2 linked regions of the Cricetulus griseus genome follow. The protein of the gene in region 1 purifies or fractionates together with the protein of each later gene. This does not show direct contact. Links are inferred from orthologs where the notes say so. Each region holds a gene or a part of one and is shown on either strand. Other genes may lie near its edges.

Region 1 (3,759 bases):
ATCTTCCAAGGAGTGACCTAACCCATAGGCTTTTGCTCAAAGCTTTTGTTTTTTGAAGACAGAAACAGCTGGCTCCTGCCTCTCCAGGGAAAAGAGCAGTTTCTAAAGGCCTCTAGGGAGAATGGGAATGGTTTCCTTTTACTTCTCTTTCATATGAACAAGTCTCTTAACTCTTGTTCCATGGGTTACAATGCTTTTTACACATCTTGGGAAGAGTGGCTGTCAGGGTTGGAAATCACTGGTGCCCAGGCAGGTTCACAGCCCTGCCTGCAAGTGTTCATTTACACTAAGTACTAATGCTGAACTGAACAAGACCGATTCCCACAGAGGTTTAGGGGATCACTGGCCCGGAAATCTTTAGTGATCACAAACTAATTATGGACCAAGTTATACACTACAGTACATAGGTATATAGTTATGATAATGTCATGAATGACTAATTTATCTGCCTAGCATGACAAGGTCCTGGGTTCAATCCCCAGCACCACCAAAGAAACAAGTAATTAATGACACGTATCTCCAATTTTGCAAGGCCACTTTTTAGGGATGTCTCACAAACACCTCTATTACAAATGATGTTGTTTTTGCTAAAGATAATCAAGAACAACTGAGATATGTGAGAATCTTCCAGAGAATCAAAAACATAAAATGAAATAAATAATAAAAACAGGAGACCGTGCCACCTGATTGCCTTTCTTCACAGAAGGGAGGGCTGTCCTGTTCCAAGCTACTGGTGGGCCAACTGATTTGTCAATAAACTCACCTTTTCTCCTTGGAGTGACGGGACCGAGTCCCGCAAACTGTGAAAGCTGTCTTTGATGTGGTCCCTGCGTTTTCGTTCCAGTGCATTATGATGAGCCCGTTTGTCAGCCTAGGAGAAATGAAGACAGAGCATGTTAGGAATGCCACTCCTTGTCCAGGTGGATGTGGTAAAGCCTGGAAGTGTGTGCAGTCAGCGCTGTCCCTGGCAAGTGGACTGAGAAAATTTGCAGAGTGAGATGGACAGTTAGGAGTCTCCAGAATTAGGCTCTGTTAAAGAGGGAGAAAGGGGTGAGTAAGGCTTGCAACAGGAACATCCAAAGTAGCACGGTGGATCCAGCTCATGCACAAGTAAAACCGAAGTTATTCAAGGAGACAAAGTGTGACTCTCCTGCAAGTGTCCCCAACCTACGTGATGGAGCAGTTGCCAGTCTGTGGTTGCAATGTAACTAAAGAAAGCTCCAGTGGGCTCCTTCCTAAGATATGGTTACTCTACCATGAGACTGGGGGGCGGGGGTGTACTTCTGTCCACTTGAAACCTACCATCCAAGGCTCTGCTACAGGTCACCAACATACCCTCTCATCAGGTCATACAAGAGAGCTCCAAACCTCTGGAAAGCCCAGTTGCATTTGAGGTTATTATGACATAGCTGACAGATGTGCCAACTGCACTTGGGTTTCCTCTCACAAGGCTGAGCCAGAGAGGCACTTTTTGGGTAGCAGACCTTCTGACACATACATGCTCTTGGTAAATTTCCTCATGCACATGCAGCAGGTCTGGCCCATTTGGCACTTTTCTAAATACCCTAAGCAGCCTTTAACCTTTCCTGCTTGGAATTATAAACAGTCTGCTGGTGAGGCTCAGGACTGCCAAACAATCAGGAAGGGGAAGGCAGCAGAGCACCATGCTGGGGAGCACTGCCAAGGAGCTTCATCTCCCTCTACACAGAACACAAGGACTACTTGAGCAAGAACTTCACCACACCTCTACTTCAGGAATTACAGAAATACTCTTGAGCATTTCCCCAGACTAGAGCAGGCTGTGCTGAGCTAGCCTAAAGAGCCTGTCTGCACATTAGAAAGTGACCTGGCTAGTAAGCCCAGACAGAGTACCAGGAATTTTGGAAATGCAACAACAAGCATAAACTTGGTTTGACAATGCCATTTCCACTGAATCCTTGTACTAGAAAAGATGGGCAGACAGAAATCAGACAAGAGCAATGAGAAGAAAAGGATTAAAAATTCTTCTACTATCAAATTCTAAAACCTAAAAGTCTCTGACTCCCCCCAGGGGAAGAGCCTGGAGACCCTGTAGACTGTTTCCCTTCTGATTTCTCAGAAGCCTCACCTACAGTTCTGTTAAATGGGCACACGTTCCCATCACAGTCACCATCTTGAAGATGGGGCACAAGCTGGGAGGATTCCTAAATTATCCTGTCTTAAACCTCAGTTCACTGTAAAGCAAAGGATTTTCTTAACTAGTCATATAGAAAATAGAATGAGGAATCCGAAAGGACAATTAAGCTTGGAAAACCAGGTAACTTGAGGGTAGAGGTGTTATCACTGTATTATAAAATACTAGGGCAAGCAAGATAACCACAGCTGCCCTCTCAGAGCAGTGTAAATTAAGTTAGCTTGAAGGAACTACATGTCAATGCCCAGGTAAACCCGCCTGTCACAATACTCGAGGACAGAAGAGATCTAGGACAACATTTGGCATGCACTAGGCCTCTGGTGTTTACTCTGTAATTTTCAAGATGGTCTATTTACATGCAAACCAATTGCTCAGCTTTGGTCTTCAGCAGCAGCCTAAGATACTCTGTCTACTAAATCACCCTGACTCCTGGCCCTCCTCCCAGCTTAAGAGCTGTGCACAGAAGCAGTGATACCAGCTACCCACAATGCCTCTTGCTGATACAAATAAAAATCCTAATTGTCTGTTTTCTTTCTGGGAGAACCCTGAAAATCTCAGGCAGTTAGAACTAAGATGGACTTGGTTTTCTGAGGGCCTGTGCTGTAAGCAAGGAGCTAAGTTGAACCTAACACCGCTGTCATCCCCAAGATGTACCACCCCTCCCATCTGCTGAGCACTGAAAGGACTCAGACGGACAACAGTCTTTTGGTTGGAGGACTGTAGTGAACTTGGCCATAGACCACGAGCAGAAATCTCGGCTTCTCATCTGGGGAGTCAGCCAAGTTAGAAGTTGGCTCAGCTAGGAAAGGCAGCAGGCCACTGCCTGGTAGAAAGCCTGGGCTGGGGACTGTTGTTCTCCAAGCAGTGGATGGAATTTCTGTGGTGGTTCCAGACCCAATTTAACTAGCAGAACGGTGGAATCTTAGAGCAATCCCTCCTGCATGTCTATCCCTCAGCTGTTATGCCTGAACAGAGACAGCCACAAGGATCTATTTGTTTTTCCTTGTCCCCAAGCCTCATTTGCAAGCACACGTGAAAAACATGCGGAACTCACATGCCTAATTCCAGGCAACTCTGAATGAAGTGGCATTTCTAGTGCTTACAGAGCATAGGAAAACTTGACACACCTTCACACAAGGCTGAGAGTTCTCTCTGGAAAGTATTTCTAAGCTGCATGCGAGGATGGTACCCCCAGCCCTGCATGCTGGGCCAGTGGCTGACTAAAAGATTGCCTTGTTAGCCAAGTTCTCTTGTTGACAAGCTCATTCCCAAAAGGCCAAGATTTCAGAGTTGAGAAAGAAAAACCAGGTGAAGACTCTCAGCGTAAGGTGCTAGAGATCCTCCCGTGAACTCTTTACAGCAGTGCAGCAATTACAGTAGTGGAACAAACAACTCAGATGAGTGTTAGTGCGCTCTCTCTCTCTCTCTCTCTCTCTCTCTCTCTCTTCTCTCCTCCCTCCCTCCCTCCCTCCCTCCCTCCATCCCCTGTACTGTCTGGTCATGCAAACACTGGAAACAGCGGTACCCTTGTGGAATAATCAGAGGTCTTCTTGGGCTATGCCACAGGTTACTAAATGACTCCCCCA
Region 2 (4,247 bases), on another chromosome or scaffold:
AGTAGGGTCAATCCTGTTCACCTCTAGCAGACTGCCTGGGACTCTATGGGGATATAATTGGTACTCTTGAACTGCACTGTGTTGATGGTAGCAGCGGGTGACTCGTTCTCTCCAAACTCTTTAGTTCTCCCCCTCCCCACATCCGCCGCTGAAACCACACACTTGTCATTCTGGTTAACCACCAACTCTGTCCATTGCTTGACCCTGCTTCTGGGCCCAAAACACAAAGAGGAGGGGCATGAGGGTGGATACCCCAGACCATCTGTTCTGCAAAAGCTAAGCACTGGGGTCTTACACGCCTCCAGTGACTCCTGACCTTGAGAGGCTGGGCGGCCTGACTAGGCCCTCGGACCTGCAGCTCCTCCGCCCCTTGCCGGCTACCACTACTCCCGCCCTACCGCGGAACCAGCTGCAGGCGTGCGCGCGCCTTTGCGCGCGAGCACACACAACACACACTACTACCTCCTGCATGACTCATCATTGAAGCAACAATAGGCAGAAAGAAAGGAAAGGAGGGCGAAAAACTCTCTCCACCACAACGTTACCGCCTGAAGGGGGGGGGGGCACGGACGGACAGGAATCCCTGAGAACCGCACACATATCACTTCAGGCCCTTGCAAGCGTCCGGAAAGCTGAGATCTTTTCCTTCACTCTCTATTTCAGCAGTACAGGAAGACTAGAGACCACCGCCAAAAGAGGTGGGGGTTAGGATCATAAAACCCTCGCCTATCCTCTCTGAGGGCGTGCCAAAGTTTGCCCTTTCACGCTGACTTATTCCAATGTGGCCGGGGTGTTGCCAGAAGGGTCTAGGTACGCCGTTAGTGGGTCAGTGAGGAGATGTTAGCTGTAGATGTCACCCTGAGATTCTGAGGGTTTCCCTCACTACAGAATCAAAAACAGGAGGACCCGGCAAGAGCCAAGGTGAACGTAGCTCCTCCTACCCAGGGCAAAGGCTCTCCCTAGGAGATGGCCAGCAACCAGAGCCGGAGCCCAACCCGACTCAAGGCCCCCCGCCAGCCCCGCCCAGGCCCCGCCCCCGGGCAAGCGCGAGGCAGCGAGGAGGGGCCGGGCCGCGCAGTCCCCAGCGGGAGTGTCCCCCGTGCACGTGGTCGGGGGCGGGACCTGTCTACGTCACCACTCGGTGTAACCAACGGGCTTGGGACGCAGGCACACGCAACATTCCAGCCAAGAGCGGGTTTGAAACGCGCAGACACGCCACATTCCACACCGGCTAAAGCAGGGCAAAGCAGGGGGGCCCAGGGGCTGCCCCCAGCGACCCGCGGGACACTCACATGCACCCAATCAGCGCAGTTTTCAGCCAAACCTAGACATGCGACCCAGCCCAGCTCTGGGAGGCGGGGTCAGGCGGGGCTGGCCAAGATCATAAGACACGCGATGTCATTTCATTCTGCAAAGGCCGCCTCCGCCCCAAGCAGCGCGTAGATCTGCCGGGAGCGCTCCCCGCACCCTCCTGCCAGGGACAGGGAATCCAGAGAACTGCTCCGCGTAGAGTATTCCCCACCCCCACCCAGTTACGCACACGCCCCCTCGTGTGCTGTACAAACACCCGTGTACACGTCCGTTCATCCGCTCTCCCCCGGCTCCCATCACACATCTTGGTGCACACACGCACGCACACGCGGGTCTGCCACCCCCACACATCAACATCCCTGTCCCCATCCTCCGGTTCACACATCCTCAATGGTACCGAGAGCCGCCCGCCCACACCTAAGGAGCCCCCCACTGAAGGTGTGCCGGGGCTGCCAGCAGCTAGGGTGGCACCCGCAGAAGCTGGGTCCCTCTTTGCATGTTAATGAATTCATTATTTTCACTGCTAGCATTACTCCTCCGAGACGGCAGATCTTGCGGGGAGCCCGTGCTCTGCCCGGCTTTTTAGGTCGCGCCGTAGAGGGGCCTGCCTGCTATTTCCAGTGGGTTTGGGGATCGGGGTCACTGGCCTCCCCTTTTGCCCAATGCCCCAGGGGCCCAGCCGAGCCGCTCACCACGTGCTCTCTGTTGTTGCTGCGCTTGCCATTCCAGGAAGCGGGCCGCCTCCAGTAGCGTCTCTATGCTCATCGCGCCGAGAGCAGCCGGGGGCGCGCCGGGGCTGAGGCTGCGGCCCGCGAGCCAAGCACAGGTCAGGCTGGCGGGCCGGCAGGAGGGAGGGATCACCTCCGGGGGGCGACAGGGCTGGGCGGCGCAGCGCACTCCTCAGGAAAGAACGGGGGAGCACGGGAAGAAAAATCAATGTCTCCCAAAATATTTGCAAAATAGGAATTTGCAAATTGAAACAATTTTGATGCAAAAAATAAAAAAAAGGCGGTACTGCCTTCTTCCTTCCTTCTTCCTCTTCCTCCCTTCCGATGCCTCCCGCCCCGCAGCCCCGGGAGTCCCGCCGACAAGAAAGGGCTTTGCAACAAGATGGCGAGGAGGCACCGACACACACAACAAGGGAAGGAGCCGCGCTGCCCCCGGCCGCCGCCCCCGCTACTACACCGGGGCCGCAGCCAAAGCCCGGACCGGAGCCCCCGCCCGTAGGGCCGCGGCGTCTCACTGAGGGCGGGGTCGCGCCATGGATAGCCCCGCCTACCGCGCGCGCACACGTGGCTTGGGTGGGGGAAGAGAAGATGGAACCGGGCTTCCGTGCTGCTTCCGCTTTCCCGCCTTGCCCCTCCCTGCTCCGCGGGCAGCCACAAGTTGAATGGGGGGTTGCGTGTTTGGGGCATCCACAGCGAGATGTGTCTTGCTGGGAGAAAGGACGGGAAATCCGAGGCTTCGGTTAGCTGAGACAGCGGTAGTACAAGTCAAGGAAACCTACGACCTGACCCTTAGATCTCCACGCCCCACGAAGACACGACCTAAATCCCGCAGCCGTCCTGTCTGTCGCAATTCCCCTGGGATCCGCCCCTGGGCGGAGCCGACAGCAGCAAGCAGCTTCAGTACTGACAGAGGGACGGGACCGCTGATCCTGTTCCGGATTTTGCCTCCGTTCCTCCCCCCGCAGTGCGTTCGCATCCTATTAGACTACATCACCAGGCCGTCCGCCAATGGGCGAGCAGGACAACACGGCATGGAGCAGCTCCACATGGACACCCCGCACAGCCAGCCTTCTGTTTAAAGGGCCAGTGTCTGCAGGGTCGTTTCAGCGGGTGCGAGTAGGGCCACCGGGTGAAGGTAGGGTGAGACACCGACAGGGGAATTCCGCAGTCCTGCTCAGGCCCATCCCCTGCCTTACATCACCCTCCCATTCAAAACCAAGTATTCCTTCTCTTTCCCTAAATTCTTTGTCCACTCGTGTCCGCTATGGGCGGAGACTGAAAATGTGCCATTCCAAAGGACACACTTCGTTGTGGTGCCGGGACAGCAGTGGTCAAAAGGCAAAACGTCCACAGCCCAGGCCAAGGAGGCGTAGCCTAAACCAGGAACAACAACGTGGAGGGCGGAAGCTGCGCGTTACCCGGGCTGCCCGCTGGGCGCGGGGCGGGGTCGCTGCTTTGGTCTAGAACCGCGCTCTCTCCTAGGCTCGCCAGCTAGCCTTTATCCTGGCTCCAGGACTTAGGACCGTCCCTGGGTATCATCAGAAAGATCTTCGAAGTCAGCTTGCCCAAATCCTTGCACTTTGCAGATAAGAAAACTGAGGCCCAAGAAAAGGGACGGTTCCAACTGCTTCTTGTTCCGTGAGCAGCTAAGTCTTCGAAGTCAGGTCTGAGGCCAGACTTCTCTCACCACCACCTCATCCCGCACTCCACGCCCCGCAAAAAGTGAAGGAGTATCAAACTACTGTGCAGAGAGAGGTCTGAGCACTTACATACTATTGATTAGGACAGCAGAAATGTCCTATACCGAAAAGCCAACCTTACTGTTTGGCTTCTTTGGAGGAAGCCACACCATCTCCATTAACATAGAAAAGCACTGGACTATTATGAGCACCGTGGAGCCAGCCCAATTCTATTGTTCCAGTGCTAGGCACAGACCTGTTAACGCCGCCTCAAATTCTTTGGTTAACCAGTGCAGGGGGAGTGGAGACATACCAGTGCTTTCAGGATCTTGGGCTCCATCGCACAACCCCGAAAGCAAACCTTTGAGACCTTAGAGGCAGGCCACTTAGACAACCCAACCCATCCACACTGCCCTTAAGTACCTACTTCAAAGGCTGCCACAACATCCAGGGGACCAAAACAAATGAGGCGCTCTTTTCCTTAAGGCTGTCCTAGAAATAGACACCCTGCACAGCTGAATGGAGCTAT

Evidence for each region. Proteins that work in one complex are often made in the same cells at the same time.
Region 2: the proteins of Max (region 1) and Mnt purify together in Homo sapiens (affinity purification with mass spectrometry; 7 studies listed by BioGRID and IntAct, with this or other methods). This does not show direct contact. The link is inferred for Cricetulus griseus from reciprocal best matches to the Homo sapiens genes MAX and MNT.

The regions. Positions count from the first base shown.
Region 1 is NC_048598.1:126,569,103-126,572,861, reverse strand, and holds part of Max (protein max), read right to left. Parts: intron 872-3,759; coding exon 764-871; intron 1-763. UniProt on the Homo sapiens protein: Transcription regulator. Forms a sequence-specific DNA-binding protein complex with MYC or MAD which recognizes the core sequence 5'-CAC[GA]TG-3'. The MYC:MAX complex is a transcriptional activator, whereas the MAD:MAX complex is a repressor.
Region 2 is NC_048600.1:88,289,006-88,293,252, reverse strand, and holds the start of Mnt (max-binding protein MNT), read right to left. Parts: upstream 2,892-4,247; 5' UTR 2,077-2,891; coding exon 2,004-2,076; intron 1-2,003. UniProt on the Homo sapiens protein: Binds DNA as a heterodimer with MAX and represses transcription. Binds to the canonical E box sequence 5'-CACGTG-3' and, with higher affinity, to 5'-CACGCG-3'.